Anolis sagrei: one gene and its partners. The protein of the gene in region 1 purifies or fractionates together with the protein of each later gene. This does not show direct contact. Links are inferred from orthologs where the notes say so. Each region holds a gene or a part of one and is shown in the gene's direction. Other genes may lie near its edges. The genes, in order: CSNK2A2, GRAMD1B, OSBPL8 and PRRC2C.

The links.
Region 2: the proteins of CSNK2A2 (region 1) and GRAMD1B purify together in Homo sapiens (affinity purification with mass spectrometry; 3 studies listed by BioGRID and IntAct, with this or other methods). This does not show direct contact. The link is inferred for Anolis sagrei from reciprocal best matches to the Homo sapiens genes CSNK2A2 and GRAMD1B.
Region 3: the proteins of CSNK2A2 (region 1) and OSBPL8 purify together in Homo sapiens (affinity purification with mass spectrometry; 4 studies listed by BioGRID and IntAct, with this or other methods). This does not show direct contact. The link is inferred for Anolis sagrei from reciprocal best matches to the Homo sapiens genes CSNK2A2 and OSBPL8.
Region 4: the proteins of CSNK2A2 (region 1) and PRRC2C purify together in Homo sapiens (affinity purification with mass spectrometry; 3 studies listed by BioGRID and IntAct, with this or other methods). This does not show direct contact. The link is inferred for Anolis sagrei from reciprocal best matches to the Homo sapiens genes CSNK2A2 and PRRC2C.

The regions. Positions count from the first base shown.
Region 1 is NC_090028.1:1,403,540-1,411,323, reverse strand, and holds the start of CSNK2A2 (casein kinase II subunit alpha'), read left to right. Parts: upstream 1-4,766; 5' UTR 4,767-5,061; coding exon 5,062-5,165; intron 5,166-7,784. Other genes in the region: CFAP263 (cilia- and flagella-associated protein 263), read right to left, coding at 2,769-2,941.
Region 2 is NC_090027.1:35,190,225-35,197,366, reverse strand, and holds the start of GRAMD1B (protein Aster-B), read left to right. Parts: upstream 1-4,134; 5' UTR 4,135-4,709; coding exon 4,710-5,089; intron 5,090-7,142. UniProt on the Homo sapiens protein: Cholesterol transporter that mediates non-vesicular transport of cholesterol from the plasma membrane (PM) to the endoplasmic reticulum (ER).
Region 3 is NC_090025.1:146,618,763-146,626,183, reverse strand, and holds the start of OSBPL8 (oxysterol-binding protein-related protein 8), read left to right. Parts: upstream 1-4,409; 5' UTR 4,410-4,600; exon of another isoform or gene 4,601-4,611; intron 4,612-7,421. UniProt on the Homo sapiens protein: Lipid transporter involved in lipid countertransport between the endoplasmic reticulum and the plasma membrane: specifically exchanges phosphatidylserine with phosphatidylinositol 4-phosphate (PI4P), delivering phosphatidylserine to the plasma membrane in exchange for PI4P, which is degraded by the SAC1/SACM1L phosphatase in the endoplasmic reticulum.
Region 4 is NC_090024.1:130,660,658-130,668,250, reverse strand, and holds the start of PRRC2C (protein PRRC2C), read left to right. Parts: upstream 1-4,592; 5' UTR 4,593-4,693; intron 4,694-7,593. UniProt on the Homo sapiens protein: Required for efficient formation of stress granules.

The DNA.
Region 1 (7,784 bases):
AGTGAGGTCTGTTGGAACTGGGAAAAATGGGTTTATATATCTGTGGAATGACCAGGGTGAGACAAAGGACTTTTGTTTCCTGGGGCTAGATGTGAATGTTTCAGCTGATCACCTTGATTAGCATTCAATGGCTTGGAAGCACCTGGGGAGAATCTTTTGTTGAGAGTGATTTCATGTGCCTGTTTTTTTTCCCCCTCTGTTGTTTTGCTGCTGTAATTTTTGAGTTTTTTAATACTGGTAGCCAAATTTTGTTCATTTTCATGGTTTGTTCCTTTCTGTTGAAATTGTCCACATGCTTGTGGATTTCAATGGCTTCTCTGTGTAGTCTGACATGGTGGTTGTGAGAATGGTCCAGCACTTCTGCGTTCTCAAATAATATGCTGTGTCCAGGTTGGTTCATCAGGTGCTCTGCTATGGCTGATTTCTCTGGTTGGAGTAGTTTGCAGTGCCTTTCATGTTCCTTGATGCGTGTCTGGGCACTGCGTTTGGTAGTCCCTATGTAGACTTGTCCACAGCTGCATGGTACACGGTAGACTCCTGCAGAGGTGTGTAGAGATATGTTTATTATAAAGTGTTATTTATAATGTGTTTAAACTGTATTTATAATGTTTATTATAAAGTGTTATTTATAATGTGTTTAAACTGTATTTATGTTTTACATTGGTTGCCATGTCCTAGCTGTGAGAGATAGGTTGCCATGGTGACAAGGCAAGAAGAGGAGGTGGGCGGAGCTTAAGGAGAAAAAGGTTTGAAAGTGACAGTTAATTTTCAGTCAGGAGGATGAGACCCTGAGAAGAGGGCAGAGTCAGTTAGGGCTCTGTGGTGTGAAGCGGTGTAAATTCAGTTAGTTCTTAGTATTTGTGAATATTTCTTCAGCAAGGGAGCTGAAGGGAAACCTCGTTAGATTGCTTGAGTTAAAAAGAATCTAACAGAGGGGGTTTTAGGATCGCCAGTAGTGGAAGACTGGAGATCAGTGGTTTGATCCGGTATAGGACAAACAGTGTGAATATTCACAATAGGGAACACTGAAATAATAAAGCACTTCACTGAAGAAGGAGTTTATAAGATTGTAACATCAGAAGCCTGAATGTATCTCGACCAAGCCATATTGTAACCATCAAGCATGTGTCAAGTTCAACATCTCAATATTGCAACAATTACGCTTTGTTAATAATAAACTTGTTCTCTTTGTATTTTAAACCTGCCTCCTCCATTGATTTTATGTTCGGTGCATTCCACTCTACCAAAGTTACCTCACAACGTAAATAGGGATAAACAGAGACTTTAAGACCAGCGTCTCTAAACTTATTGGTGGCAGTTTAATTTAACATTCTAGGAACTTTCTTACATTTTTGGTGCCATTCGGTGAGATAAAGACTTCTTTACATATTTTTGGTGGCATTGATACGTTCTTTACAAGGTGAAAATGGAATGTTGGAGGACAGGAAAAGAGATTTAAAGATGGGCTCAAAGCCAACCTTCAAAACTCTGGCATAGACACTGAGAACTGGGAAGCCTTGGACCATGAGTGCTCCAGCTGGAGGTCAGCTGTGACCAGCAGTGCTGCAGAATTTAAAGAGGAACGAATGGAGGGTGAAAGAGAGAAACGTGCCAAGAGGAAGGCGTGTCAAGCCAAGCCCAACTGGGACCTCCTTCTACCTGGAAACCGATGCCCTCACTGCGGGAGAAGATGCAGATCAAGAATAGGGCTCCATAGTCACCTACGGACACACCCTGGAGGATTATGCTACTCAGACAACAATAGTCCACCTACAATCAAAGAGCATTCTGAACCCCACCAATGATGGAATTGAACCAAACTTGGCACACAGCTCTCCCATGACCAACAGAAAATACTGGAAGGGATTGGTGTGTAGTGTCCTTTGGTTTTGGAGTTGTAGTTCACCTACATCCAGAGATTCTGATGTGCCTTCCCAGAAAAGGATAACCTCCAGCACTATGTCCCAGAAGCACTTTATTAGAGTTTAAGACTCTCTGCACATTGCCCTTGCCCAGAATCCCAATATATCACCTTTCACACCCAGCACTTTTTAATCTGTACCCATCACTGGCCCGGCCCTGGTTTTATTGTGTAATGTTTTGTTTTCGTTATTGCTTATGTTTTTAATTTGCTTTGCATCGTATTGTTATTGTTTGTTGTTGTTGTTGAGGCCTTGGCCTGTGTAAGCTGCATTGAGTCCTTTGGGAGATGCTAGCGGGGTACAAATAAAGTTTAATAATAATAATAAAAGATCACTGTGAACTCAAAAATGATGGATCTGGACCAAATTTTGCATAAATACTCAAATACTCCATATGCCCAAATGTGAACACAGATGGAGTTTGGAGAAAATAGAATCTTGACATTTGGGAGTTGTAGTTGCTGGGATTTATAGTTCACCTACAATCAAAGAGCATTCTGAACCCCACCAAGGATGGAATTTGGCCAAACCTCCCACACAGAACCCCCATGAGGGCCACAGCAATAATATTATAAATATATGTTTACGCTGTATGTTTTGGGGATGTTACTTGGAAACCGGCCTGAGTATCCCTCAGGGAGATAGAGCTGTATACAAAGAAAGTTTATTATTATTATTATGATCACTAGTGGGGGTGGCACCGGGGAAGGGGGAATATCATGTGGTTGTTTATTCGGCTGAGGGGGGAAAGGAAGTGTCGTGAGGCGGTGAGGGATGGCGGGAGTGGCAGGCCAAAGGCCTAAGAAAGGAGGCTTGTCCTGGGGTGTCTTCCCCGAGTGGGCGGACCTGGTCTGCTGGATGGCGGCGGCGAGGCTGACGAGGGAGATCTGGCTGAGGTCGCGGCGGAGCTCCTCGCCCAGTTCCCGCGACTCCCCGGCCTGCACGCTCTCCCGCTCCGAGTCCTCGTCCGCCATCACGACCAGGCCGCGCAGAGAGACCGGAGACGAGGACGAATCCATGGCGACGAGGAGGAGAATGGCCTTCTTGGGGTGGTGGTGGTTGCTGTTGTTGTGGTTGCTGAGGCGCCGAACTCCCTCACTTCCGGCCACGCCCCCTCACTTCCCTTCTCTTCTGGCCCCGCCTATTTCCCCTAGGACCCGGATGGGAGTGGCAGCCTCAGCTTTCCCTCAGCTATGGCCACGCCTACTCTGTCACGTGACTCCCTTCAGTAGAAAGGCCGCTTTTCCTCACTTCTGGCCACGCCCCCTCAAGTGAATTTTAATAAGCAGGAGTTTCCTTTACTTATGGCCCCGCCTACTCCGTCACGTGATTCCCTTCAGTAGGAAGGTCGCTTTTCCTCACTTATGGCCCCGGCTACTCTGTCACGTGACTCTCTTAGGCTAAAGTCGGCTTTTCCTCACTTCTAGCCACGCCCTCTCGCGTAAATTTTAATAAGGAGGAGGGGCTTCCTTCACTTAAGGCCCCGCCCACTCCGTCACGTGACTCCCTTCACTAGATAGGCCGCTTTGCCTCACTTCTAGCCACGCCCACTCATGTACATTTTTAATAAGGAGGAGCTTCCCTCAGCTATGGCCCCGCCTACTCTGTCACGGGACTCCCTTCAGTAGAAAAGGCTGCTTTGCCTCACTTCTAGCCACGCCCTCGCATGCGAATTTTAATAAGGAGGAGGGGCTTCCCTCGCAATCGGCCACGCCTACACCGTCACGTGACGCTATTAAGTAGAAAGGCCAACTTTCCTCAGTTCTCGCCACGCCCTCCCAAGTGAATTTTAATAAGGAGGGGGAGCTTCCCTCGCAACAGGCCACGCCTATTCTGTCACGTGACTCCCTTTAAGTAGAAAACGCTGCTTTGCCTCATTTCTAGCCGCGCCCTCTCAATGTGAATTATTAATGAGGAGGAGCTTTCCTGACTTATGGCCCCGCCTACTCCATCACGTGATCCCTTAGTCTAAAGCCCGCTTTGCCTCACTTCTAGCCACGCCCTCTTATGTGCATTTTAATAAGGAGGAGCTTCTCTCGCAACCGGCCACGCCTACCCCATCACGTGACTTTCCCTAGCTTTGGATTGGAGTCCTTCTCTTTTGTCCCCTCCCTGATTACAAGGGCCTGCTTCTGGCCCCGCCCCTTGCCTACGTCACTCCTTGACTACAAGAAGCCGTTTCTAGCCCCGCCCTCTTTTTTACGTCACTCTGATTACAAGGGTCCGCTACCGGCCCCGCCCCTTTGCCCTACGTCACTCCCTGTTTACAAGAGGCCGCTTCAGGCCACGCCCCCTTTAGCTACGCCACTCCCTGATTACAAGACACCGTCTCTGGCCCCACCCCTTTTGCTACGTCACTCCCTGATGACAAGAGGCCGCTTCTGGCCCCGCCCCTTTCTCTACGTCTCTCCCTGATGACAAGAGGCCGCTTCAGGCCACGCCCCCTTTAGCTACGCCACTCCCTGATTACAAGACACCGTCTCTGGCCCCACCCCTTTGGCTACGTCACTCCCTGATGACAAGAGGCCGCTTCTGGCCCCGCCTCTTCGCCTACGCCACTAATCAGGGAGTGGCGTAGGCAAAGAGGCGGGGCCAGAAGCGGCCTCTTGTCATCAGAGAGGCTGCTTCAGGCCCCGCCCCGTTGCCTACGTCACTCCCTGATTACAAGAGGCCGCTTCAGGCCCCGCCCCCTTGAGTACGTCACTCCCTTTGGCCCCGCCCTCTTCTTCACGTGACCCTCTCTAGCCCTGATTGGGAGTAGTATCCGCTTTCCCGGACTTGTCACGTGACTATCTCATTTCCGGCCCCGCCTCTTCCTGCCTGTCTCCGTGACGCGACTTCCTCTCCTGTGGGCTGGGCCTCTGTTGCGCCTGCGCGCCGGAAGCCCTTCCCCGTCCCTCCCCGGCCTGTGCCGGCGGACTTTCTCGGGGCCGGTGGGCGCCACGCCGCCTTCGCCTCCTCCTCCTCCTCCTCGCTTCCCCCCTCGGGCCTGGCCCTGGCGCCGCTCTTCCCCGCGGCCGGTCCGCTCCCGTTCCCGCTCCGGGCCTTCCTCAGGTGGGCGCCCGCCTCGCACGCCTCGCACGCCCGGCCCTTCCTCCTCAGGCCTTCCGCCGCCTCCGCCTCCTCCTCCTCGGCCGCCATGCCGGGCCCCGCCGCAGGGAGCCGCGCCCGCGTCTACGCCGAGGTCAACAGCCTCCGCAGCCGAGAGTACTGGGACTACGAGGCCCACCTCCCCGCCTGGGGGTAAGCGAACCACGCCATCCATCCCAGGCCTAGGCCACCTTGGGCCCTTCCTCCCGCCTTCCAGGGGGTTTGGACTACAACTCCTATCATTCCTCACAGCCTCAGGCCCCTTCCTTTTCCCCCTCAGCCGCTTAAGCGGCTGAGGGGGAAAAGGAAAGGGCCTGAGGCTGTGAGGAATGATGGGAGTTGGAGTCCAAACCCCCTGGAGGGGGGGGGGGAGGGCTCAAGGTGGGCCAGGCCTGGGATACAACTATCTATCTATTTCAGGCCTCCCTCCCTCCCTCCAGTGGTTTTGGACTCCAACCTCTTAGGAATGATGGGAGTTGAACTCCAAATCACCTGAAAGGTGGGTGGGTGGGAGGGCCAGGCCTGAGCTGCATCTCCATTGGTATCTCTCTCTATGTACCTGTATCTATATCACAATAGCTATATCTGTATATACAAACAATAACAAATATCTGGATATTTCTGTCTGTGTCTATCTCAGACCTCCCTCCCTCCAGTGGTTTTGGACTTAGGAATGATGGGAGTTGAAGTCCAAATCACCTGAAGGGTGGGTGGGTGGGTGGGAGCGCCAGGCCTGAGCTGCATCTCCATTGGTATCTCTCTCTGTGTACCTGTATCTATATCACAATAGGTACATCTATATATACAAACAACAACAAATATCTGGATATCTCTATCTCGGGCCTGGACTACAACTCCCACTTTTTAGGAATGGTGGGTGCTGAAGTCCAAAACTACAGCTATATCTGTATATACAAACAACAACAAATATCTGTATCTATCTGTCTATATCTATCAGGCCTGGGACACTTTTTAGGAATGGTGGGAGTTGAAGTCCAAAACTATATCTGTATATACAAACAACAACAAATATCTGTATATATCTGACTATATCTCAATCCTGGGCCATCTTGGGCCCTCCCTCCTGGTGGTTTGGACTACAAATCCCACTTTTTAGGAATGGTGGGAGTTGGTGTCCAAAACTATAGCTATATCTGTATATACAAACAACAACAACAACAAATATCTGTATATATCTGTCTATATCTATCTATCTATCTCAGGCCTGGGCCATCTTGGGCCCACCTTCCCTCCTGGTGGTTGGACTACAACTCCCACTTTTTAGGAATGGTGGGAGTTGAAGTCCAAAACTATAGCTATATCTGTATATACAAACAAGAACAACAATCTATCTATATCTATCTCAGGTTTGGGCCCACTTTGGCCCTCCCTCCCTCCTGCTAGTTTGGACTACAACTCCCACTTTTTAGGAATGGTGGGAGTTGAAGTCCAAAACTATAGCTATATTTGTATATACAAACAACAACAACATATATCTGTATATATCTGACTATATCTCAGGCCTGGGCCATCTTGGACCCTCCGTCCCTCCCTCTAGTTTGGACTACAACTCCCACTTTTTAGGAATGGTGGGAGTTGAAGTCCAAAACACCTGGAGATAGGGAGGGAGGGCTCAAGGTGGCCCAGTACTGATCTACATCTATATTTATCTATCTCTGTGTGCCTGTATCTATATCTCTGACTATAGTTATCTATCTGAGGCCTGGGCCATCTTGGGCCCTCCGTCCTTCCTGCTGGTTTGGACTCCAACTCCCACCATTCCTAACAGCGATAGGAGTTGAAGAGCAAAACACCTGAGGGAGGGCCGAAGGTGACCCAGGCCTGATCTACATCTCTAGCTATCTGTATATAATAATAATAATAATAATAATAATAATAATAATAATATTTATTTATAACCTGCCACCATCTCTGGGTGGTTTGGACTCCGATGCCTGCACCTGTTAGGAATGGTGGGAGTTGAACTCCAAATCACCTGAAGGGACGGAGGGCCCAAGGTGGCCCACGCCTGATCTGCATCTCTATCTATTTGTATCTGTATCTATATAATGATGGGAGTTGGAGTCCAAAACCCCTGGAGGGAGGGTGGGCCAGGCCTGGGATACAACTCTATCTCTCTCAGGCCTCCCTCCCTCCAGTGGTTTTGGACTCCACCTCTTAGGAATGATGGGAGTTGAACTCCAAATCCCCTGGGGGGTGGGTGGGAGGGCCAGGCTATAGCTCTATCTGTATCTATATATCTATATCTATCTCAGGCCTGGGCCAATTTGGGCCCTCCCTCCCTCCCTCCAGGTGTTTAGGACTCCAACTCCCATCATTCCTAACAGCCAGTAGGAGTTGAAGACCAAAACACCTGAGGGAGGGCCCAAGTTGGCCCAGCCCTGATCTACACCTCTATCTATAACTATGTATGTGTATCTATATAAGTATAGCTGTAATTATATCTGGACCTACATCTCTAGCTATAACTATTTCTTTATCTATATCTATTTGTCTGTTTCTATGTAACTATAGCTATAACTATATCTGTATCGCTATCTGACCATATCTATCTATCTCAGGCCTGGGCCAATTTGGGCCCTGCCTCCAGGTGTTTTGGACTCCCAACTCCCACCATTCCTAAAAGCCAGTACGAGGTGAAGTCCAAAACACCTGGAGGGAGGGCCCAAGGTGGCCCAGGTCTGATCTATATCTATATCTATCAATCAATCTGTATCTATTTCTATGTACATACCCGTATCTACATAACGA
Region 2 (7,142 bases), on another chromosome or scaffold:
TGGCCCTTGGCTCTGGAATTCGCTTCCCAGAGATATTAGGCATGCCCCCACCCTGGAAATCTTTAGGAGGAGCCTGAAAACTTGGCTGTTCAAATGTGCCTTCAATGACTGAATGTGTGATATAATCCCTGACCAAACTCTGCATAAAATGTCCTCAGAAGCACTTTATTTTCTGGTTTGTGCAATGAACTTTTACCTTATCCCCCGGATACCCTTCCTGATATTGTACACTGCCTTATCTCCCAGTGTTTTAAAATTTTAATTTTTGTACTGGTCTTGCCCATTGTGTTCATTTTTAGTGGTTTAATGTTTTGATTTTATATTGTTGTGCTGTATATTTACATTTTGTATTTTTGTATTTTATGTTATTTTATTTTCTGATTTTCTGTTGTGTTTTTGTGTTATATTGTGTTTCGGTATTGATGGGTGTGGCCTCATGTAAGCCGCCCCGAGTCCCCTTGGGTGGCGGGGTATAAATAAATATTATTATTATTATTATTATTATTATTATTATTATTATGTCTACGCTTATATCAATCTCACTGTAGCCAGGAATATTAGCTTGAACTAAGCCATACTATATAAGTGGAGGAAAGACCAATGTTTGTAGTGAAACCAATTCTTTTTTGTCGTTTGTCCAGAGCAACAACTCTTTTCAATAGCTAGTACTTTTCAAACCTTATGGCTAGGCACACTGTTGTATCTCTCTTGTTACAGAGTTCTTGTGTTTCAAAGAGCATCTAACAGGTGCCCAGTGTCCTCTGACCAAAATTGAAAAGTGACACAGAAGAATATTATGACATAAGGATATGTTGCCTGGTAATGAGAAAATCTACTTAGAAAGCTTTGGGTGCCAAGGAACTGTTTGTATAACATCTTGGGGATCAAGTACTACACCTTTTACAAAATGTGGATTTCCTCAGGTTGTGGAATATTTTTATTTTATGTAAAAGTTTGTGGAGGTTTACATAGCAAAGCCAGTGCCCTGTGCAGTGGATTATGTCTTGAGAAACCAGTGTTCGAATCCCCGCTCGGCCATGGACACCCACTGAGTGATTTTGGGCAGGTCACATTGTCTTAACCTGAGACAAAGGCAAGGGCAAATTCCACTTGAACACATCTTGCTGAGAAACACCCATTAAAGCTTTTCCTTAAGGTTGCCACATTTGGAAACTACTTGGAAGCACACAACAACATGTTTGATACTCAAGGCACTTTGCAATGAAAACAGTAACAAAGCTGCATGATTATAAAACACCATGATAGTTGCCTTGCTGTATAATATTCATGTTCCTCAGGCACGCACTCAGCAAACGAAGACTGTCACATCTTTTTGGGTATCAGAGACCAAAATGTCGTCATGCCGTTAAAATCCATTAGTTAAAAGAAGGATCATGTGGGCCAAACCCAAAGGAAGGCAAGTCCAGTGGAGTTTTTGGGACTTCCAATGCCTTATCTCTTTTCAGCCAATCTCTCATTGTTACCTCTCCAAACCAAATCACCTCTGCCATTTCCAATGCTATTTGAAATGCTAATTTGGGGCAGGGGAGCTCACCATTTCAAAATAACATGACACTTACCCAGAAAAGTCCCCCAAAGTGACCAGGAATGACACAATATAATTTCTAGTTGACCAGAATGGGGGCCACAACAGCACCCCACAGACCTTCAAAAGTCTGGAGATGCTGAAAGCTGGATGATGAAGCCCTCTAGATATGCCCATCCCTGTGTTAAGTAGTAACCTGTATTCATTATTTTCCTCTCTGTTTTCAGTTGACATGTACTACATGTAGTCTGGTTACATCCGGTATAGACTACTGCAACACACTCTATGTGGGGTTGCCTTTGAAGACTGCCCGGAAGCTTCAAACGGTCCAACGAACGGCAACCAGATTGCTAACAGGAGCAGCGCTCAGGGAGTGTACAACTCTTCTATTACGCTACCTCCACTGGCTGCCAGTTTGCTACTGGGCACTATTCAAAGTGCTGGCTTTAGCCTATAAAGCCCTAAACCAGTGGTTCTCAACCTGGGGTCCCCAGATGTTTTTGGCTTACAACTCCCAGAAATCTTAACAGCTGGTAAAATAGCTGGGATTTCTGGGAGTTGTAGGCCCAAAACATCTGGAGACCCCAGGTTGAGAACCACTGCCCTAAACGGTTCTGGCCGAACTTACATGTCCGAACGCATCTCCCTTATGAACCATCTAGGACCTTGAGATCGTCTGGGAAGGCCCTGCTTTTGTCACAAGTACGTTTGGCAGAGATGAGAGACAGGGCCTTCTCGGTGGAGGCCCCTCAGCTGTGGATGCCCTTTCTATAGATATTAGATTGGCCACCTCCCTTTTAACATTCCGGAAAAAAGTCAAGATGTGGCTTTTTGAACAAGCATTTGCACAGGAAAATGGAACAACTAGACAATGTCCGGACAACATTTTTAACAAGGAGACACTATGAATTTATATTTTATTGATTTGTTTAGTTTTTATTATATGTTATGTTTTTAATTGTATTTATGACATTGTGAGCATTGAATTTTGCCATTAACCACCCTGAGTCGCCTATGGGCTGAGAAAGGTGGTATACAAATATAGTAAATAAATACTAAATAAATAAATAAATTAAAACATTGGTGCTGGAAACTTCAAACTGGGTCAATATTTGGAAAACTGGTGCCACTTGTAAGCGTTTTCCATGCAGGAGGTTACATCCTATATTTTTAGTTGACTTTCCTGGAAACACTTGGTTTCTTTATGTTTATAAATCTGATTCTATTGTTTTCTTCTGTGGGGCACATGAGAGTCCTTTCTTAGAAGCTGTTGGCTTCTTCTCTTGTGATAGTTATAATGACTTTTTCATTAATAAATTGTGGGCAGGGAGCAAGTTGCACAGGTGGCTTCTGACTGCGAAATGGCAATTAGGGAAGCGAGAGGAGCATCTAAAAGGAGCATGGTGCACCAGCTGCTAAGACAGCATGTGTCAGGGGGCCACCAAGAAGGCTTGATCACATTAAAATACATTGCTAATGAGTCTTTGTAAAAGAGGAAAGGTGGCATAGCTGAGTCCATAAGATAAGTAGGATATGGATAGAACCGAGCATAAAAATAAAGAGTGCTCATCTTGTCGCCTGCTGTTGATTAGCATGGCAAAGCATTTGCTTGTCTCATCCATGGTCACAATTCTTCAGCGACTACAAGGAAAGTGAAATGAAGCTACCAAAAGATACCTTTTTCTTCAGCCCTTGATCATTAGCACTTTTTGTTTTTCAACATAGTGGCATTTCTTTACTTCTCCTTTGTAGGGAGGTGAGGTTATTGTTGAATCGTTCCCCTCTTGTGCTGCTTGTAAGACTTTCTCACGCTGTTTGATCTGATATGATTGTGTATGTGTCTCTGCATGCAGTCTGTGAGTCTTTCTTAACTGGAATCTCTGTACCAAAAGCATGTCATTTTGGAAGCAGCTCCGTACCCAGAAGTCACTTCCTCTTTTGCTCCTTATCATTTCTTTTCCATGGAAATGCATTCTAGGATTGTGTCAGAAACAAAAAGGAAGGTCCTGCGGGTTCATTAACACTTTGTCGGTTGAAGAAACTGGTGCTCAATTCAGCTGGAAAAAAAGTATCATTCACTTTGCTTCAGGTTTCACTTCTGATTATGTTTGGTGTGATAAATGGCGATTTGAAAGGTGTCCATGATGATGATGATGATGATGATGATGATGATGATGATGATGATAATGATGGTGACGTTCCAGCTGATTGTCTCCTTGAAATCACCTGTCTTATGTGTCTTTCCTTCTTCCACTGTGTGTGACTTGAATTAGAAAGCATTCAGCAAAACAACTCACAACAACTATGCCTAGAGGTCACCTACTTCCCCCTCCCTTTGCAGGGTGGGACACTGAGCATGGAAATGTGACATGGAGGGTGAGCCCAACCAATCACCTTGTATGAAAGGTTTGTTTTCATCCCCCCCCCCCCCCCCCCGCCTTCTCCGTCTTTTTCCTCTGGCTGATTGGAGCAAAAGCACATTCAGTAACAGAGACCTTGTCCCTTGAGTTAAGAGTATGGTTACACTGTCAGCAGCTGCCGGAGCTTATCAGTTGCTGGAAGTGGGGAGAATCTCTCTCTCCTCCCAATCCCTTCTTCTTTCTCGGTTGTATTCTATGTCACGGTTTCCTTCCTCCTGTCCCTGGCTCTGTGTCTGTCTTTCTCTCTCTTCCCCCACCCCCATTTCTTTTTCTCTGACTTTCTCACAGCTCCTCCTCACTTTCCATTCAGTCACTCCGAAGTGCTGTACAGATGAGAGTTTTTCAGCTGAGCCCTGGAGAAGGCGTTGATCCACCACACAAGGAGGCAAGAAAACACTTCTGGAAGCACGGCAAAGCAGAGCAAAGGGAAGCCGGTGGTTGGCAACTCAGCTTTTGTCCCTGATGGTGTTTTGAAGGAGCCACATGTGGAGGAAGAAAGTTCTCTCTTAAGGTCACTGGACTTGGGTAGAAACTCAAGAACACATTGGAGCTGGCTCTGCTGGTGGCCTTGAGGCTCTTCCTTGTTAAATGAAACCACCTGAGGAATATGAGATTTCCGACTGGCGAGGGAGGGAAGATGCCAAGCTGGGTGAGAAGGCAGCAAGGCGGATTTTGATTCTTTGGTGTGGCTTGCACTGAGACCACGGTGGGGAGGGGGTGAGAAGGAGGGCGCCTTGGAGTAAATGAAAGTGGGAGGAGAAGTGACACAGGAGCTGATGCCAACTGCCAAGATGACTGAAACCCTTCAACTCCCTGCACTGCAAGTCCCAGAGCAGCAGGAGGTGGAGTGTGCCCGAGCCTGGTCCAGCTCATCAACGCCAACCTTTCGCCGAAGGCGGTTCAGGATGCGGCGCACGAGGAACATTCACGAGCAGAGCCTGGAGGCCGCACCTTCCTCAAATAAGGATTTCCTACAACTTCCCTCCATTGAAATCACCCCTTCTAGTGATGAGGACACCCCCTGGTCGAACTGTTCCACACCCAGCGCCTCTCCGCGACGCAAGCGCTTCCTGCTCCGCAAGTGGCTGAATGTCAGGGAGAAGAAGGAGTACAGTGAGAGCAGGTGGGTCATCTCTTTCACCTTTCCCATTGCCCATGGGGAAATCCTTGAGGAGCAGGAGCAATGGGTTTCCTCTTGCTTCCTGCAACTTCCTGTGCATGTCCTATCTTGTTTCTGTCTCCCTCTGCTGGTTAAACCAGATGAAGAGAGATGGCAACTTGATGCCCATTTGGCACTGATTTCTTAGTCCTTGATCTCAGAGACCAAATTTGTATCTCTAGACCAGTGGTTCTCAACCTTCCTAATGCTGCGACCCCTTAATACGGTTCCTCATGTTGTGTTGACCGCCAACCATAACATTATTTTCATTACTACTTCATAACTGTCATTTTCCTATTATTATGACTCGCCATGTAAATGCCTGATATACAGGATGAATTTTCATTCACTGGACCAAATTTGGCACAAATGCCTGATATGGCCAAATTTGAATACTGAAGAAGTTGGGGGGATTGATTTTGTCACTTGGGAGTTGTAGTTGCTGGGATTTATAGTTCACCTGCAATCAAAGAGCATTCTGAACTTCACCAATGATGGAACTGAACCAAACTTGGCACACAGAACTCCCATGACACACAGAAAATACTGTAAGGGTCTGGTGGCAACTGATCTTGAGTTTGGGAGTTGTGGTTCACCTACATCCAGAGAGCACTGTGGACTCAAACAATGATGGATCTGGACCAAACTTGGCATGGGTACTCAATATGCCCAAATGTTAACACTGGTGGAGTTTGGGGAAAATAGACCTTGACTTTTGGGAGTTGTATTTGTTGGGATTTATAGTTCTCTCCTACAATCAAATAGCATTCTGAGTCCCACCAATGAGAGAATTGGGCCAAACTTCTCACTCAGAACTCCTGTGACCAACAGAAAATAGTGTTTTCTGATGGTCTTTGGCGACCCCTCTGACACCCCCTTGTGACCCTCCCAGGGGTCCCGACCCCCAGGTTGAGAAACACTGCTCTAGACAGATTGTAAGGAAAATGAGAGATAGGCTTGAAGTACAATTGTTATTGGAAATTTTCAAGATGCTGTATGTTTCTGATACGCTAGTTTGTACCACCATTTATTGCCCATTTATTAAATCATAGCCAGAGAAGGAGAAATAAGTCTTTGGTCATGTGTAGTGTAACATTGAGATGTGAAAATCATGATGAAAAATGGGCAATTGGCCATAGAGTCACACCTGGCTCTACTGGACCAGAATGCTGTATTCACAGATCACATGGTTAAATAACTTACAGAATTGTTTGGTTTATATAGGTCTCTATTGTTTATGTTGAACTGGAAGTCTGCAAAAAACCCCAAACAAACCTTGAGAGCTGAGTAAAATATATTTCATTGAGATATATCTGGCTGGGAAATATCTGTTTAGTTCGTGATGCTGTTTACTCTGAAATGCATGTAATTCTTAACCATGGTTGGCATTTATATCAAGTGACATTCATGATGATAAGACAATTCAATATTCATTATGTTTGCTCAGAAGTAATTGAGATCACAATTAGCACACTATACAATATTTAGAGGATGTTCAATGAAGAAAACACATGGTTGCTTTGTCAAAAGTCCAAATGAAACCTCACGGTTTGCAACTAAGCAGTTAATCAGTTACTGCAATTGAATTGCGGTGGTTCAATGGGTTAAACCAGGGGTCCTCAAACTAAGGCCCGGGGGCCGGATACAGCCCTCCAAGATCATTTACCCGGCCCTCGCTTAGGGCCAACCTAAGTCTGAAATGACTTGAAAGCACACAACAACAGCAACAACAACAACCCTATCTCATTAGCCAAAAGCAGGCCCACACTTCCCATTGAAATACGAATAAGTTTATATTGGTTAAAATTGTTCTTCATTTTAATTATTGTATTAAGTGTTTTTTGCATTACAAATAAGATAGGTGCAGTGTGCACAGGAATCCATTCATGTTCTTTTCAAATTGTTATCCGGCCCTACAACAGTTTGAGGGACTGTGACCTCGCCCTCTGTTTAAAAGGTTTGAGGACGCTTGGGTTAAACCTTTGTGCCAGCAGGACTAAAAACCCACAGGTCAGAG
Region 3 (7,421 bases), on another chromosome or scaffold:
GTATTTCTCTGTATGTGTCATCAAAAATAGCCAGGCGTGTCAGTGCTGACACACGTGTCATAGGTTCACCATCACGGGACTAGACGATGGGACCGGACAATGTTTTTAACAAGGAGACACTGTGGATTTATGTTCTATTGATTTTGTTATGATTTTTATTATATGTTAATGTTTTTAATTGTATTTATGGTATTGTGGACATTGAATTTTTGTCCTGTAAACCGCCTTGTCACCTATGGGCTGAAAAAGGTGGTATACAAATACAGTAAATAAATAAATAAATAAATATTTTAATACATGTATAAAATGACCTTCAGGCCATTCGTTGTTGTGTTGTTTATTCATTCAGTCGCTTCCGACTCTTCGTGACCTCATGGACCAGCCCATGCCAGAGCTCCTTGTTGGCCATGGCCACCCCCAGCTCCTTCAAGGTCAAGTCGACCACTTCAAGGATACCATCCATCCATCTTGTCTTTGGTCGGCCCCTCTTCCTTTTTCTTTCCATTTTCCACAACATCAAGCTTTCCACAGCTTCTCCAAGCTTTCCTGTCTTCTCATTATGTGGCCAAAGTACTTCATCTTTGCCTCTAATATCCTTCCCTCCAGTGAGCAGCCGGGCTTTATTTCTTAAAGTATGAACTGGTTTGATCTTCTTGTGGTCCAAGGCAGTTTCAGGCTATATGTGTAAGTATATATGTTGCAGCATCAATGAATTTTGCAATTAGACTTGCGTCCCATCGCCAAGATATCTCATTATGTATAGTCCAACATCAAAAAAAATCTGAAACCCAAAACACTTCTATTCCCTAGCATTTTGGGTAAGGGATACTCAACTTCTACTACTTTTAGGACCACAAATCCTGATACAATATAAGGTATTCCAAAATGCAAAATACTTCCAGTCCCAAGCATTTCAGAAAAGGAATGCTCAACCAACACATGATAGAAGAGTTGCACAATATTGTTCTTTATCTCCTCCTCCTTATCTCTGCTCCTTCAATGCGGGTTCTAACTTCCTGATAAATGCATTTGGCACAAACAATTATTTCAACACTTTGAAACAGCCAGCACAGCTACAAACTGTACAAACTGTCCAGCTGATTGTTACTTAAGGTACACAGCTGAAAACAGCTGATAACTGGCTGCTTTCTGTTTTATCCAGATACCTCTCTGAGCAGCTATTTTCGCTCTCTCTAACTGCTCTGCTCAAATCATCCCGTCTCCTGTCACAAACCTGATAATGCTTTTTTGAGTGTAGCAAATTGGTTTTTTCCTTTAACGGTTTGCATAGCTTAATAGTTAAGGCATTGTGAACATCGGCTATGTAAGTTTGATGAGATCAGACTATGGGTGCATCTACACTGTCAAATTAATGCAGTTTACCACCACTTTAACTGCCAGGACACAATGCTGTGGAATAATTAGAGTTGTAGTTTGGCGTGGCATCCACACTTTTTGGCAGAGAAGGCTTTTTACTTGTTGTGTCAGAAACAAATTGAGAAAAGTTATAATGTATAGCAAAACCACAAACAAAGTTTAAAAGACTAGGCATTATACTAAATTTCCTTTGACCAGAAGCTGCCCACTTGGAGTGCCTCTGGTGTTGCTATAAGAAGGTCCTCCATTGTGCATGTGGCAGGACTCAAACTGCATTGTAGTAAGTGGTCTTCTTCACATTCACATGTCGTGGACTCCACTTTGGAGCCCCATTTCTTAAGATTGGCTCTGCATCTCACGGTGCCAGAGCGCAGTCGGTTCAACGCCTTCCAAGTTGCCCAGCCTTCTGTGTGCCCAGGGGGGAGTTTCTCATCCGGTATCAGTCATTGATTGAGGTTCCAGGTTTTAACTTGCTACTTTTGGACTCTTGCTTGCTGAGGTATTCCTGCGAGTATCTCTGTGGATCGTAGGAAGCTATTTCTTGATTTAGGGCGTTGGCATGCTGTCTGGTATCCAAACAGAGGATGGGTCTGAGATGTCAATGCCTTGGTCCTTTCATTACAGGCTGCTACTTCCCGACAGATGTCAGGTAGTGCAATATCGGCTAAAAAGTATAATTTCTCCAGTAGTGTAGGCCATAGACATCCTGTGATAATGCAGCATATCTCATTAGGAGCCACATCTATTCTTTTAACGTAGTGAAATGTATTCCACACTGGCCACGCGTATTCAGCAGCAGAGTAGCAAAGAGCAAAGGCAGATGTCTTCACTGTCTGGTTGTGATCCCCAGTCAGCTTTCGTATGATATTATTTCTGGGACCCTCTTTTTCTTGATATTCAAGCAATGCTTCTTCAAAGTCAGAGCACGATCCAGAGTAACTCCCAGATATTTTGGTGTGCTGCAGTGCTCCAGTGGGATTCCTTCCCAAGCAACTTGCTGCAGGCAGAGAAGGCTAAAGATCTTGTATAACCATAAGTCTCAGGAATCCATAGCATTGCATCAATGGTGGAGATGCCCCCTATGCTTGTACTCTTAATGACTAGGTATTGAATACGTACATTTACCATTTGAGGTGGAGCCAATTAGAAGATGGGATGTCATCAATACAGTATTTTGTTTCTTGGAAATGTAATAATCACTGCTTTATTGGGACAAAATATAGTTGATATGATGTTGTGAGCATCCTTTGAACATGAAAATAAACTGTGACTAATTTGAAAGTGAGTTTCTGTATGTTTGGATTAGTGCATCCAATAAGGCAGGCATCCTCAAACTTTTTAAACAGAGGGCCAGGTCACAGTCCCTCAAACTGTTGGAGGGCAAGATTATAATTTGGAAAAAAAACATGAATTCCTATGCACACTGCACAAATCTTATTTGTAGTTCAAAAACACTTAAAAACAATACAATAATTAAAATGAAGAACAATTTAAACAAATATAAGCTTATTAGTGGGAGCCCCCAGTGGCGCAGTGAGTTAAAGTGCTGAGCTGCTGAGCTTGTGGACTGAAAGGTCCCAGCTTTGATTCCAGGGAGTGGTGTGAGTTTCCGCTGTCAACCCTAGTGTCTGCCAACCTAGCAGTTTGAAAACATGCAAATGTGAGTAGATCAATAGGTACCGCTCCGGCGGGAAGGTAACAGTGCTCCATGCAGTCATGCTGGCCACATGACCTTGAAGATGTCTATGGACAACGCCAGCTCTTCGGCTTAGAAATGGAGATGAGCACCACACCACAGAGTCAGACATGACTGGACTTAATGTCAGGGGACTACCTTTACCTTTACCTTTAAGCTTATTAGTATTTCAGTGGGAAGCGTGGGTCTGCTTTTGGCTGATGAGATAGGATTGTTGTTATTCTTGTGTGCTTTCAAGTCATTTCAGACTTAGGTTGACCCTGAGCGAGGGCCGGGTAAATGACCTTGGAGGGCCGTATCCAGCCCTTGGGCCGTAGTTTGAGGACCCCTGCAATAAGGTGTCTGTAAAGGAATATAGAGGAGCCCCCGGTGGCGCAGTGGGTTAAAGCACTAAGCTGATGAGCTTGTTGACTGAAAGGTCGCAGGTTCGATTCCGGGGAGCGGCGTGAGCTTCCGCTGTCAGCCCTAGCTTCTGCCAACCTAGCAGTTCGAAAACATGCAAATGTCAGTAGATCAATAGGTACCGCTCCGGCGGGAAGGTAACGGCGCTCCATGCAGTCATGCTGGCCACATGACCTTGGAGGTATCTACGGACAACGCTGGCTCTTCGGCTTAGAAATGGAGATGAGCACCACACCCCAGAGTCAGACATGACTGGACTTAATGTCAGGGGACTACCTTTACCTTTTTAAAAGGAAGATAGCTAATGAAAGGAGTGTGAAAAGAAAAAAGAAACAGCCACAGCCTTCATCATAGGCAAACCCGACCTTAAGTGAGAGGCGATGCAGGGGATTGTGGGATTTTATTCAGCTGTGTGGAAGGGGCCATAGGCATATAAAATCCAGATTATCTGCTTTGAACTGGATTATGTGGCAGTGCAGAAGGGGCCTTGGCATTGCCTCTTTATTCTTGAACCAGGAGCCTTGAATGTTTTGCTCCTCCTGAAATATCCTCATATCAAAACAATGTGTGTGTGTGTGTGAAGAGGGTGGCAAAGTGACAGCTGCTGGGTTTATGCAGTGGTTGGCAAGGCGCCTTTCCACAGAAACTGAAAGGAAAGGGGCGGGGCGAAGAGAGCCAGCGCGAGAGAAGGGCTGGACCAATCAGAAGCCTTCCGGAGAGCCCAGGGGCGACGCCTGAGAGCCTACTTCCCTCCGTACGAAGGATGCCCCCAGTCACGTGAGGCCTCCCAAGGGCGTGGCTGCGGTTGCCCTCTCTCTCTCTCTCTCTCTATTCCCCCTCCTTTCCATTTTTGTCGTGAGTCGCGCGTGCGCGCTCGAGTCTGCAACAACAACAAAAAAAAAGAAGAGGGGTGCGCGCGCGCGGGGTGTGTGTGTGTGTGTATGTGCGCGTGCGCGGCTTGCTTTCCAGCCGGCGCGAGCGGCGCGCGTGCGCAATTGAGGGTCCCGAGCCTTTCTCGGCAACTCTAGTTTTCCTTTCCTTTTTTTTTCTCCTCTTTGAACCTCGAGCATCTCGTCGCTTCGGCCGTGGCTCTTTCTGGAGGCGGCAGCTCAAGGCCCGGATCGGGTGAGGAGGAGGTAAGAGGGAAACGAAGCAAGGGAGAAGGGAGCCTCGCCTCGTTGTCGTCCCGCTGGCTCTGGGGAGGGATGCGAAGGAAGGGGTGGGGCGGGAGGGGGCAGCCGGGGAAAAGCCTCCCTCATGGGCCTCCCTCCTTCCTTCCTTCCCTCTCTCTCTCTGTGGTGGTCGGGAGCCTGGCTGCGTGGCGTGACCTTGGGCTTATGCCTGCCTCTCACTTCTGGGAGCCTTGAGCATCACCATCATAATAATCACCCACCCCAATGACAGAGGCTCCTCGTGCTGCTGCATTACTGAACTGAAGAGTTTCTAATGGCTTCACATCTGGCGCACCTTTGGCCAAAGGAAAGCCGTGTTTTGTTTAGGGTCTTGTTGTGTACAACCTGGCCCTTGACCGCTCCAGCTGGAGGCCAGCTGTGACCAGCAGTGCTGCAGAATTTGAGGAGGCACGAATGGAGGGCGAAAGGGAGAAGCGTGCCAAGAGGAAGGTGCGTCAAGCCAACCCCGGCAGAGACCGCCTTCCACCTGGAAACCAATGCCCTCACTGCGGAAGAGGATGCAGAGCAAGAATAGGGCTCCACAGCCACATACGGACCCACAAGAATATTGGAAGACAATCATCCTCGGAAAGCGAGGGATCGCCTAAGTAAGTAAGTTGTGTACAGTATCTCTTAATCAGACCGGAATGTAGACTGCTATATCCCAGGCATGGGCAAACTTGGGCCCTCCTTCTAGGTGTTTTGGACTTCAACTCCCACCATTCCTAACAGCCTCTTAAGTGGCTTAGGGAGAAAAGGAATGGGCTTGAGGCTGTTAGGAATGGTGGGAGTTGAAGTCCAAAACACCTAGAGGGAGGGTCCAAGTTTGCCCATGCCTGGGATATAGCAATCTACATTCTGAACTGATTAAGAGGTACTGTACACATAGAATCAAAGAGTTGGAAGAGACCTCATGGGCCATCCAGTCCAACCCCCTGCCAAGAAGCAGGAATATTGCATTCAAATCACCCCTGACAGATGGCCATCCAGCCTCTGTTTAAAAGCTTCCAAAGAAGGAGCCTCCACCACACTCCAGGGCAGAGAGTTCCACTGCTGAACAGCTCTCACAGTCAGGAAGTTCTTCCTCGTGTTCAGATGGAATCTCCTTTCTTGTGGTTTGAAGCCATTGTTCTGCGTCCTAGTCTCCAGGGAAGCAGAAAACAAGCTTGCTCCCTCCTCCCTGTGGCTTCCTCTCACATATTTATACATGGCTATCATATCTCCTCTCAGCAAGATACTAAACAAAACACGGCTTTCCTTTAGCAAAAGGTGCGCCAGATGTGAAGGCATTTGAAACTTCTTCAGTCTAGAAATCCTTTGGAGTATGGTTTTAGGTATTCTTTGTACAGCAGACTCTCAGGCCCCTTCCACACAGCTGAATAAAATAATAATGATAATAATAATAATAATAATAATAATCTTTATTTATACCCTGTCACCATCTCCCCAGTGGGGACTCGGCGCGGCTAACATGAGGCCAAGCCCTTTAAAAATACAATACAGCACAGTAAAGTACAGAATACAAAAAACAAAATGCATCAGAAAATAAATTACAATAACAAAATGAAATAATAAAGCAAATTCACACAATATTAAATCGAACAGGATGGGTAGGCCAAACAGACAAGATAAAGTGATAAAACCCTGTGTGAGGTAGGAATAGGAGATATGTAAGTGAGGGGAGAAAATAAAACAGTGGGGTAAGGCTTTCAGTTTGGAATGGGGAAAAGTGCATCATAGGGGCAACACTATAGATGGGGCAACACAAATGGGATGGGTGGCCACTCTCCAAAGGCACATCGGAAAAGCCAGGTTGTCAGATTTTTCTTGAAGTCTGCTAAGGAGGGGGTTTGCCTAATCTCATCAGATAGTGAGTTCCAAGGACAGGGAGCCACAGCGGAGAAGGCTCTCTCTCTCATTCCCACTAGTCTTGCCTGTGATAGAGCAAGAGGCAAGAGGAGAGTGTCCCTGGTGGATCGGAGAGATCATGCAGGTTGGTGGTAGGAGATGCAGTCATGGAGGTAGGCGAGTCCCAAACCGGTTAGGTCTCACATTATTGGCTTTGAACTGGAATATATGGCAGTGTGGAGCCCCCAGTGGCACAGTGGGTTAAACCACTGAGCTTGTTGATCAAAAGGTCCCGCTGTTAGCTTCAGCTTCTGACAACCTAGCAGTTCAAAAACATGCTAGGTTGGCTAGAATAGGTACTGATTCTGTGGGAAGGTAACAGTGCTTCATGCCACATGACCTTGGAGGAGTCTACGGACAACGCCGGCTCTTCGGCTTAGTGTTGGAGATGAGCACCAACCCCCAGAGTCGGACATGACTAGATTTCATGTCAGGGGAAAACCTTTACCTTACTATGTGGCAGTGTGGACTCCAGTAACCCAGTTCAAAGCAGATATTGTGGGATTGCCTGCCTTGATATTCTGGGATATATGGTGCTATGGAAGGACCGTCAGTTAACTGGAACTCAAGCAGCCGGCACTCTCAAGCAAATGGCAACAAAATTCAAAGATATAATACTTTTAATTTTTTTTATAATACATTAAAACAGGAACATTGAGTTCAATTTGTTTTTATTTCTCTTTTAATGACTATTTCAGTATTAATATCAAGTCAATACAGAATTTATGGTATAGTATCAGGTATAGGATTAATTAAGCCCATTTTAATAGTAACTCTCAAGCAACCTGAAGATACATTCACCCAGCATCTACCAATCCCCATGGGTGCCAGTTAACTGAGAGTACTGTTTCCATATATGTGCATCA
Region 4 (7,593 bases), on another chromosome or scaffold:
AGTCTTACATCCTCCTTATATAGCCAGCTGTGATAGGTGATCAGTAAGAATCACTGGTTGATGCAATCCTTTTGAAATAACCATCACATGGTTATGACTCAGCCATTACCAAACCTCCTTAGGTATCACATCATGAAACTCACAGTCATACCTAGCTGCTATCAATATGTTGTTAATTCGTTCAGTTGTTTCCGACTCTTCGTGATCTCATGGACCAGTCCACGCCAGAGACCCCTGTCGGTTGTCACGACCCCCAGCTCCTTCAAGGTCAAGCCAGTCACTTCAAGGATACCATCCATCCATCTTGCCCTTGGTCGGCCCCTCTTCCTTTTTTCTTCCATTTTCCCCAGCATCATTGTCTTCTCTAAGCTTTCCTGTCTTCTCACGATGTGGCCAAAGTACTTCATATTTGCCTCTACTATCCTTCCTTCCAATGAGCAGTCGGGCTTTTTTTCCCTGAAGTATGGACTGGTTGGATCTTCTCGTGGTCCAAAACACTCTCAGAACTTTCCTCCAACACCACAATTCAAAAACATTTATCTTCCTCAGCCTTCCCTATGGTCCCGCTCTCACATCCATAGGTGACTATGGGGAATACCATTGCTTTAACTATGCGGATCTTCGTTGCCAGTGTGATGTCTCTACTTTTCACTATTTTATTGTGATTGGCCATTGCTCTCCTCCCAAGAAGTAAGCGTCTCCTGATTTCCTGGCTGCAGTCTGTGTCTGCAGTAATCTTTACACCTAGAAATACAAAGTCTGTCACTGCCTCCATGTTTTCTCCCTCTATTTCCTAGTTGTCAACCATTCTTGTTGCCATAATCCTGGTTCTTTTGATGTTTAGCTGCAACCCAGATTTTTGCCCTTTCTTCTTTCACCTTGATTAGAATGTTCCTTAGCTCCTTCTCGCTTTCTACCATCAAAGTGGTATCATCTGCATATCTAAGGTTGTTAATTTTTCTTCCAGCAATTTTTACCCCAGCCTTGCATTCGTCAAGCCCCACACAGGCGGGGACCCGAACCCTAGTCTTGAGTCACAATCCAATCTTCAAACCACTATACCATGCCCTCTCTCTCTCTCTCTCCACACACACACACACACACACACACACACAGAGAGAAAGATGTTAACTAAAGCAATAATTCTAACCCACTCCAGTCCTCCCTTTTCTTCCTGGCTGGAAGTCCTTTAGCAGCAGCATCTTTGATAGGGTGGTAAAGGAGGGCTGGAGAAACACAGACCTTTAATATCAGGTTGCAGTAGTAAATAGCAAACAATGCAATTAATTTCTAACAGGAGAATGGGATACTAGAGCGGCTGCCTCCAGAATTCATTACTGAGCATGCATGAACAACAAAACAGTGGAAAAAAGGAGAATGACAAACCTTCTCAACAGTGCCCCCAGCATATTAAAAAGGGTATTTTAAGTTTGGCCAGCAAAATAAACATCAAAAGAAAAGTAGAGGCTGGATGCATTTTGCTTTTAATTCACTCTTTAATCATATATGTGTTAAATATTATTTTACTTCCACCATGAGCTGCCTACAATCCACACGGTGCTAATGCCAGACTATTTATGCCCTAGACAAAGATAAGTGCTTGTTCTCCCCACCACCACCCCGCCCCCAAATTATTAACTACCATTTTTAAAAATAAATGTCTTGTAGAAAAAAGGGAAAGCACACAACTTTACATTACGACATTGATTTTATATTGCAATAATGTACCATCTTCTATGATCTTTCTCAAATGTTTTATCACATAAGTAATTTTGTGAATTGAAATGATAAATTGTTTACATTTTAAGTATAACAAAATGTTACTTTTTATCACCAGGTCCTTCAGATCAAGTGCTAAAGCCTGGCCATGTGCACTTGCCATGCAAATTAGTCTATTTGCAGCATTATTATTATTATTTGACTGCATTACCGCTTACCACTACCCTAGAAATGCAATCTAGATAGAACAACAGAATCATAAGGCACAATATTTACGATTTTCTGTTCTAGTACAAAGATAAATACTCCTTTTTGTGGCATAGACATCTGAAGTCTTCAAGCTAACAATGTGATGCGGCAGTTAAAAAAGCCAATGGGATTTTGGCCTGCATAAATAGGAGTAGTTGATCCAGGGATGGCATGCTACTCCTCTATTCTGCCTTGGTCAGACTACATCTGGAATACTGTGTCCAATTCTGGTACCGCAATTTAAGGGAGTTGTGTCCAGAAGAGGAAGACTAAAATGATCAAGGATCTGGAGAACAAGCCCTATGAGGAGCGGTTTAAAGAGCTGGGCATGTTTAGCCTGCAGAAGAGAAGGCTGAGAGTACATTTTCCGAGAGTACAACTTCCAGGCACCAAATTGGAGGTGAGATACCCTTAGTGCCTGGAATGACTACATCTAGTACTTCATAAAGAGTAGAGGGATTCCTCTTTCTCCCAGCCTTCTCCTGGCATGCTGGATATTTTCATTCTGGGTATATAATTTTGGTGCCTAGTGGGCACCGCTAAGGTAAATTAGAGAGAGGCAAGGCATGGATGGCAAGCAAAAGGCCAACTTTTTTTTTTGGTGGCCACTCATGGTTTTTTAATTTTTTTTATTTATCGTGTCTGTGCAACCAGTCGATTATATTACATTTCTAACAGAACAAAGCAAAAAACCCAAAAAAAACAAAAAACAGACAAAATACGAAAATTGTGAGTTTGGTAGCTGATTAAATGTCCTTTGACCAGTATCTGGCCACTTGGAGTGCTTCTGGTGTTGCTGCAAGAAGGTCCTCCATGGTGCATGTAGCAGGGCTCAGGTTGCATCGCAGCAGGTGGTCAGTGGTTTGCTCTTCTCCACACTCGCATGTCGAGGATTCCACTTTGTAGCACCATTTCTGAAGGTTGGCTCTGCATCTTGTGGTGCCAGAGAGCAGTCTGTTCAGCGCCTTCCAAGTCACCCAGTCTTCTGTGTGCCCAGGGGGGAGTTTCTCATTTGGTATCAGCCATTGGTTGAGGTTCTGGGTTTGAGCCTTCCACTTTTGGACTCTCGCTTGCTGAGGTGTTCCAGCGAGTGTCTCTATACATCTTAGAAAACTATTTTTAGATTTAAGTCGTTGACGTGCTGGCTGATACCCAAACGGGATGAGCTGGAGATGTCTCTGCCTTGGTCCTTTCACTATTGGCTGCTACTTCCCGGCGGATATCAGGTGGTGCAATACCGGCTAAGCAGTGTCATTTCTCCAGTGGTATAGGGTGCAGGCACCCCGTGATAATGCGGCATGTCTCATTCAGAGCCACATCCACTGTTTTAGTGTGGTGAGATGTGTTCCACACTGGGCATGCATACTCAGCAGCAGAATAGCACAGCGCAAGGGCAGATGTCTTCACTGTATCTAGTTGTGATCCCCAGGTTGTGCCAGTCAGCTTTCGTATGATATTGTTTCTAGCACCCACTTTTTGCTTGATGTTCAGGCAGTGCTTCTTGTAGGTATGAGCACGGTCCAGAGTGACTCCCAGGTATTTGGGTGTGCTGCAATGCTCCAGTGGATTCCTTCCCAGGTGATCCTCAGAGCTCGGGATGCTTGTCTGTTCTTGAGATGAAAGGCACATGTCTGTGTTTTAGATGGGTTGGGGATCAGCTGGTTTTCCCTGTAATAGGCAGTGAGAGCAAGTTCTCAACCTGTGAGTCCCCAGATGTTTTGGCCTTCAACTCCCAGAAAGCCCAACAGCTGCTAAACTGGCTGGGATTTCTGGGAGTTGTAGGCCAAAACACCTGGGGATCCACAGGTTGAGAACTACTGTCCTAGAGCTTCGGAAAGCTTCTGTTCTACCATGTCAAAGCTCCATGCTTGAGCAGTAATGGCACGATTATCAGCATAGATGAAACTCTCTGTCCCTTCTGCCAGTGGCTGGTCATTTGTGTAGATGTTGAACATGGATGGAGCAAGCACACTCCCCTGAGGCAGGCCGCTCTTCTGTTTCCGCCATCTGCTTCTCTGGCCCTGGACCTCAACAAAAAAGCTCCTGTTTTGTAGCAGGTTTCCTATGAGGCGGGTGAGGTGGTAGTCCTTTGTGATATTATACATTTTTCTCAGGAGGAGGCGGTGGTTCACAGTATCATAGGTTCACAGTATCATATTAACTAATGGGTTAAACCATAATGAAGTCGCCAGCTAGTTTAGAGCAGTGGTTCTCAACCTGTGGGTCCCCAGGTGTTTTGGCTTACAATTCCCAGAAATCCTAACAGCTGGTAAACTGGCTGGGATTTCTGGGACTTGTAGGCCAAAACACCTGGGGACCCACAGGTTGAGAACCACTGGTTTAGAGGCTGACAATGTGGTCTCTATCAGCTCTCAATCCAGCTGACAGTTTGAGCCACTCTTTCCCTTTGCAGCCACCCTCCCTACAACTAAAAGCTGTTTGGGCCTCCAATTCCCAGAATTCCTGACCATTGTACAAGCTGGCTAGGGCTTCTGGGAGTTGGAGGCCTGAACAGCTGGAGGGCCGCAATTGAAGGAAGTCCGCTGCAAGGCCGCTATGTTCTCCCCCCGCCCACTTCCTCTAGAACGTAGCGGTAGTCCCGGTCACGTGGTGCACGGCGCCTGCGTGCGTGTTGACGTCAGACGGCAGTAGGTGCCGCCGGCTTGGCTATCCGCCCGCCATCTTGGCCCGCTCGGTGTGGAAGGTCTCGGTTCCTTTGGCCTGGGTGAGTGTATTCTGGAGGCGGCGTTCCACAGGGACCACGGCAAGGGGGGTGCTAGGGAAGGCCTACGACAGGACCCGGCTTGGGTAGGCCTTACGCCTCCCGGTTGTGAAGGCCGCACCACAGGCTGTCGGGCGGCCTTAGGTGGGGGCCTGGCCGGGGTTGGGAACGTGGTGGTGGGGAAGGAAAGAAGGATGGGCAGCCGGGAGGGGGTCCTGGCTTCCCCCTCCTCGGCTTTCAAGGGCCTCTCTCGCCCGCTCCGACGACTAATAAACGGGCTTTCCCGTTCTCGGCTATAACGGCTTTGTTGGGCAGTAGGCCGGGGCAAAAAAGAATAGGATGAGTGAGGCCGAAAGTTTGCAAAAGCAATTACAGAAGAAAACAATACCTGGCGCTTTCTCTGAGCATCCATGCACCGTTTTTTGTCTCCCAGCTTCTGCCATTACTATATATTCCTTTATTGCTTTCGACTCCTCCATTTTCTTAACTTCCGGCATTTTTCCCTCCAGGTTCCTTGAATCTGGGTGCCTTTCCACACAGCCCTATATGCCATAATATCAAGGCAGAAAATCCCACAATATATCCTTTGAACTGGGTTATCTGAGTCCACACTCAGGGCCCATCCACACAGCCCGATATGCCAGAATATCAAGGCAGAAAATCCCACAATATATCCTTTGAACTGGGTTATCTGAGTCCACACTCAGGGCCCATCCACACAGCCCTATATCAAGATAGAAAATCCCACATTATCTGAGTATGGCCTCAGATAACCCAGTTGGAATATAGGGCTGTGTGGAAGGGCCCATAGGCATATAACCCAGAATATCAAGGTAGATAATCCACAGTGGGCCCTTCCACACAACTCTGTCTGAGTATGGACTCAGATGACCCAGTTGGGATATAGTACTGTGTGGAAGGGCCCATTGGCATATAATCCAGAATATCAAAGTAGATAATCCACGGTGGGCCTTTCCTCATAGCCCAATATCCTAAAATATCAAGGCAGAAAATCCCACATTATCTGAGTATCGCCTCAGATAACCCAGTTGGGATATCAAGGCAGAAAATCCGACATCTGAGTATGGACTCAGATAACCCAGTTGGAATATAGTGCTGTGTGGAAGGGCCCATAGGCATATAACCCAGAATATCAAAGTAGAAAATCCACAGTGGGCTCTTCCACACAACCCTATATCTCAGAATATCAAGATAGAAAATCCCACATTAGCTCAGAATATCAAGATAGAAAATCCCACATTAGCTGAGTATGGACTCAGATGACCCAGTTGGGATGTAGGGCTGTGTGGAAGGGCCCATAGGCATATAACCCAGAATATCAAGGTAGATAATTCACAGTGGGCCCTTCCACACAACCCTATATCTGAGAATATCAAGGCAAAAAATCCCACATTATTTGAGTATGGCCTCAGATGACCCAGTTGGGATGTAGGGCTGTGTGGAAGGGCCCATAGGTATATAACCCAGAATATCAAGGTAGATAATCCACAGTGGGCCCTATAGCTCAGAATATCAAGACAGAAAATCCCACAATTCCTTTGAACTGGGTTAACACTCGGGGGGGGGGGGGGGGCATCCGCACAGCCCTATATCCCAGAATATCAAGGCAGAAAATCCCATATTATCTGAATATGGACTCAGATGACCCAGTTGGGATGTAGGGCTGTGTGGAAGGGCCCATAGGCATATAACCCAGAATATCAAGGTAGATAATTCACAGTGGGCCCTTTCACACAGCCCTATATCTCAGAATATAAAGGCAGAAAATCCCACATCATCTGAGTATGGACTCAGATGACCCAGTTGGGTTATAGGGCTGTGTGGAAGGGCCCATAGGCATATAATTTAGAATATCAAAGTAGATAATCCACAGTGGGCCCTATATCTCAGAATATCAAGAAAGAAAATCCCACAATATCTCCTTTGAACTGGGTTATTTGGGTCTACACTTGGGGCCCATCCACGCATCCCTATATCCCAGAATATCAAGGTAGATAATCCCACATTATCTGAGTGTGGACTCAGATAACCCAGTTGGTATATAGGGCTGTGTGGAAGGGCCCATAGTCATATAACCCAGAATATCAAGATAGATAATCCACAGTGGCCCTTATATCTCAGAATATCAAGACAGAAAATCCCACAATATCTCCTTTGAACTGGGTTATCTGAGTCCACACTCAGGGCCCATCCACACAGCCCTATATCCCAGAATATCAAGGTAGATAATCCCACATTATCTGAGTGTGGACTCAGATAACCCAGTTGGTATATAGGACTGTGTGGAAGGGCCCATAGTCATATATCCCAGAATATCAAGGTAGATAATATACAGTGAGCTCTTCCACACAGCCCTATATCCCAGAATATAAAGACAGAGCATCTCACAACATCTGCTTTGAACTGGGTTATCTGAGTCCATTTTATTTATTTATTCAGATAATGTGGGAATTTCTGCTTTGATATTCTGGGATATAGAGCTGTGTGGAGGGGTCCAAAGGGCCCTCAGATAATGTGGGATTTTCTCTCTTGATATTCTGGGATATACTGCTGGATGGATGGGCCCAGTATCTGCTTTGGACTGGGTTATCTGAGTCCACACTGCCATATAATCCAGAATTTCAAGGCAGGTCATCCACGTTATCTGGTTTGAACTAAATTATCTGAGGCCAGATCTACACTGCCATATAATCCAGGCCCCTTCCACACAGCTGTATAAAATCCATATTGAACTGGGTTATATGGCAGTGTGGACTCAGATAACTCAGTTCAAAGCAGATATTGTGGGTTATCTGCCTTGATATTCTTAATTATATGGCTGTGTGGAAGGGTCCTGACTGAGACAGGGCAGGGCACTCAAGGTAAGAGCTCACTTCAAGGTG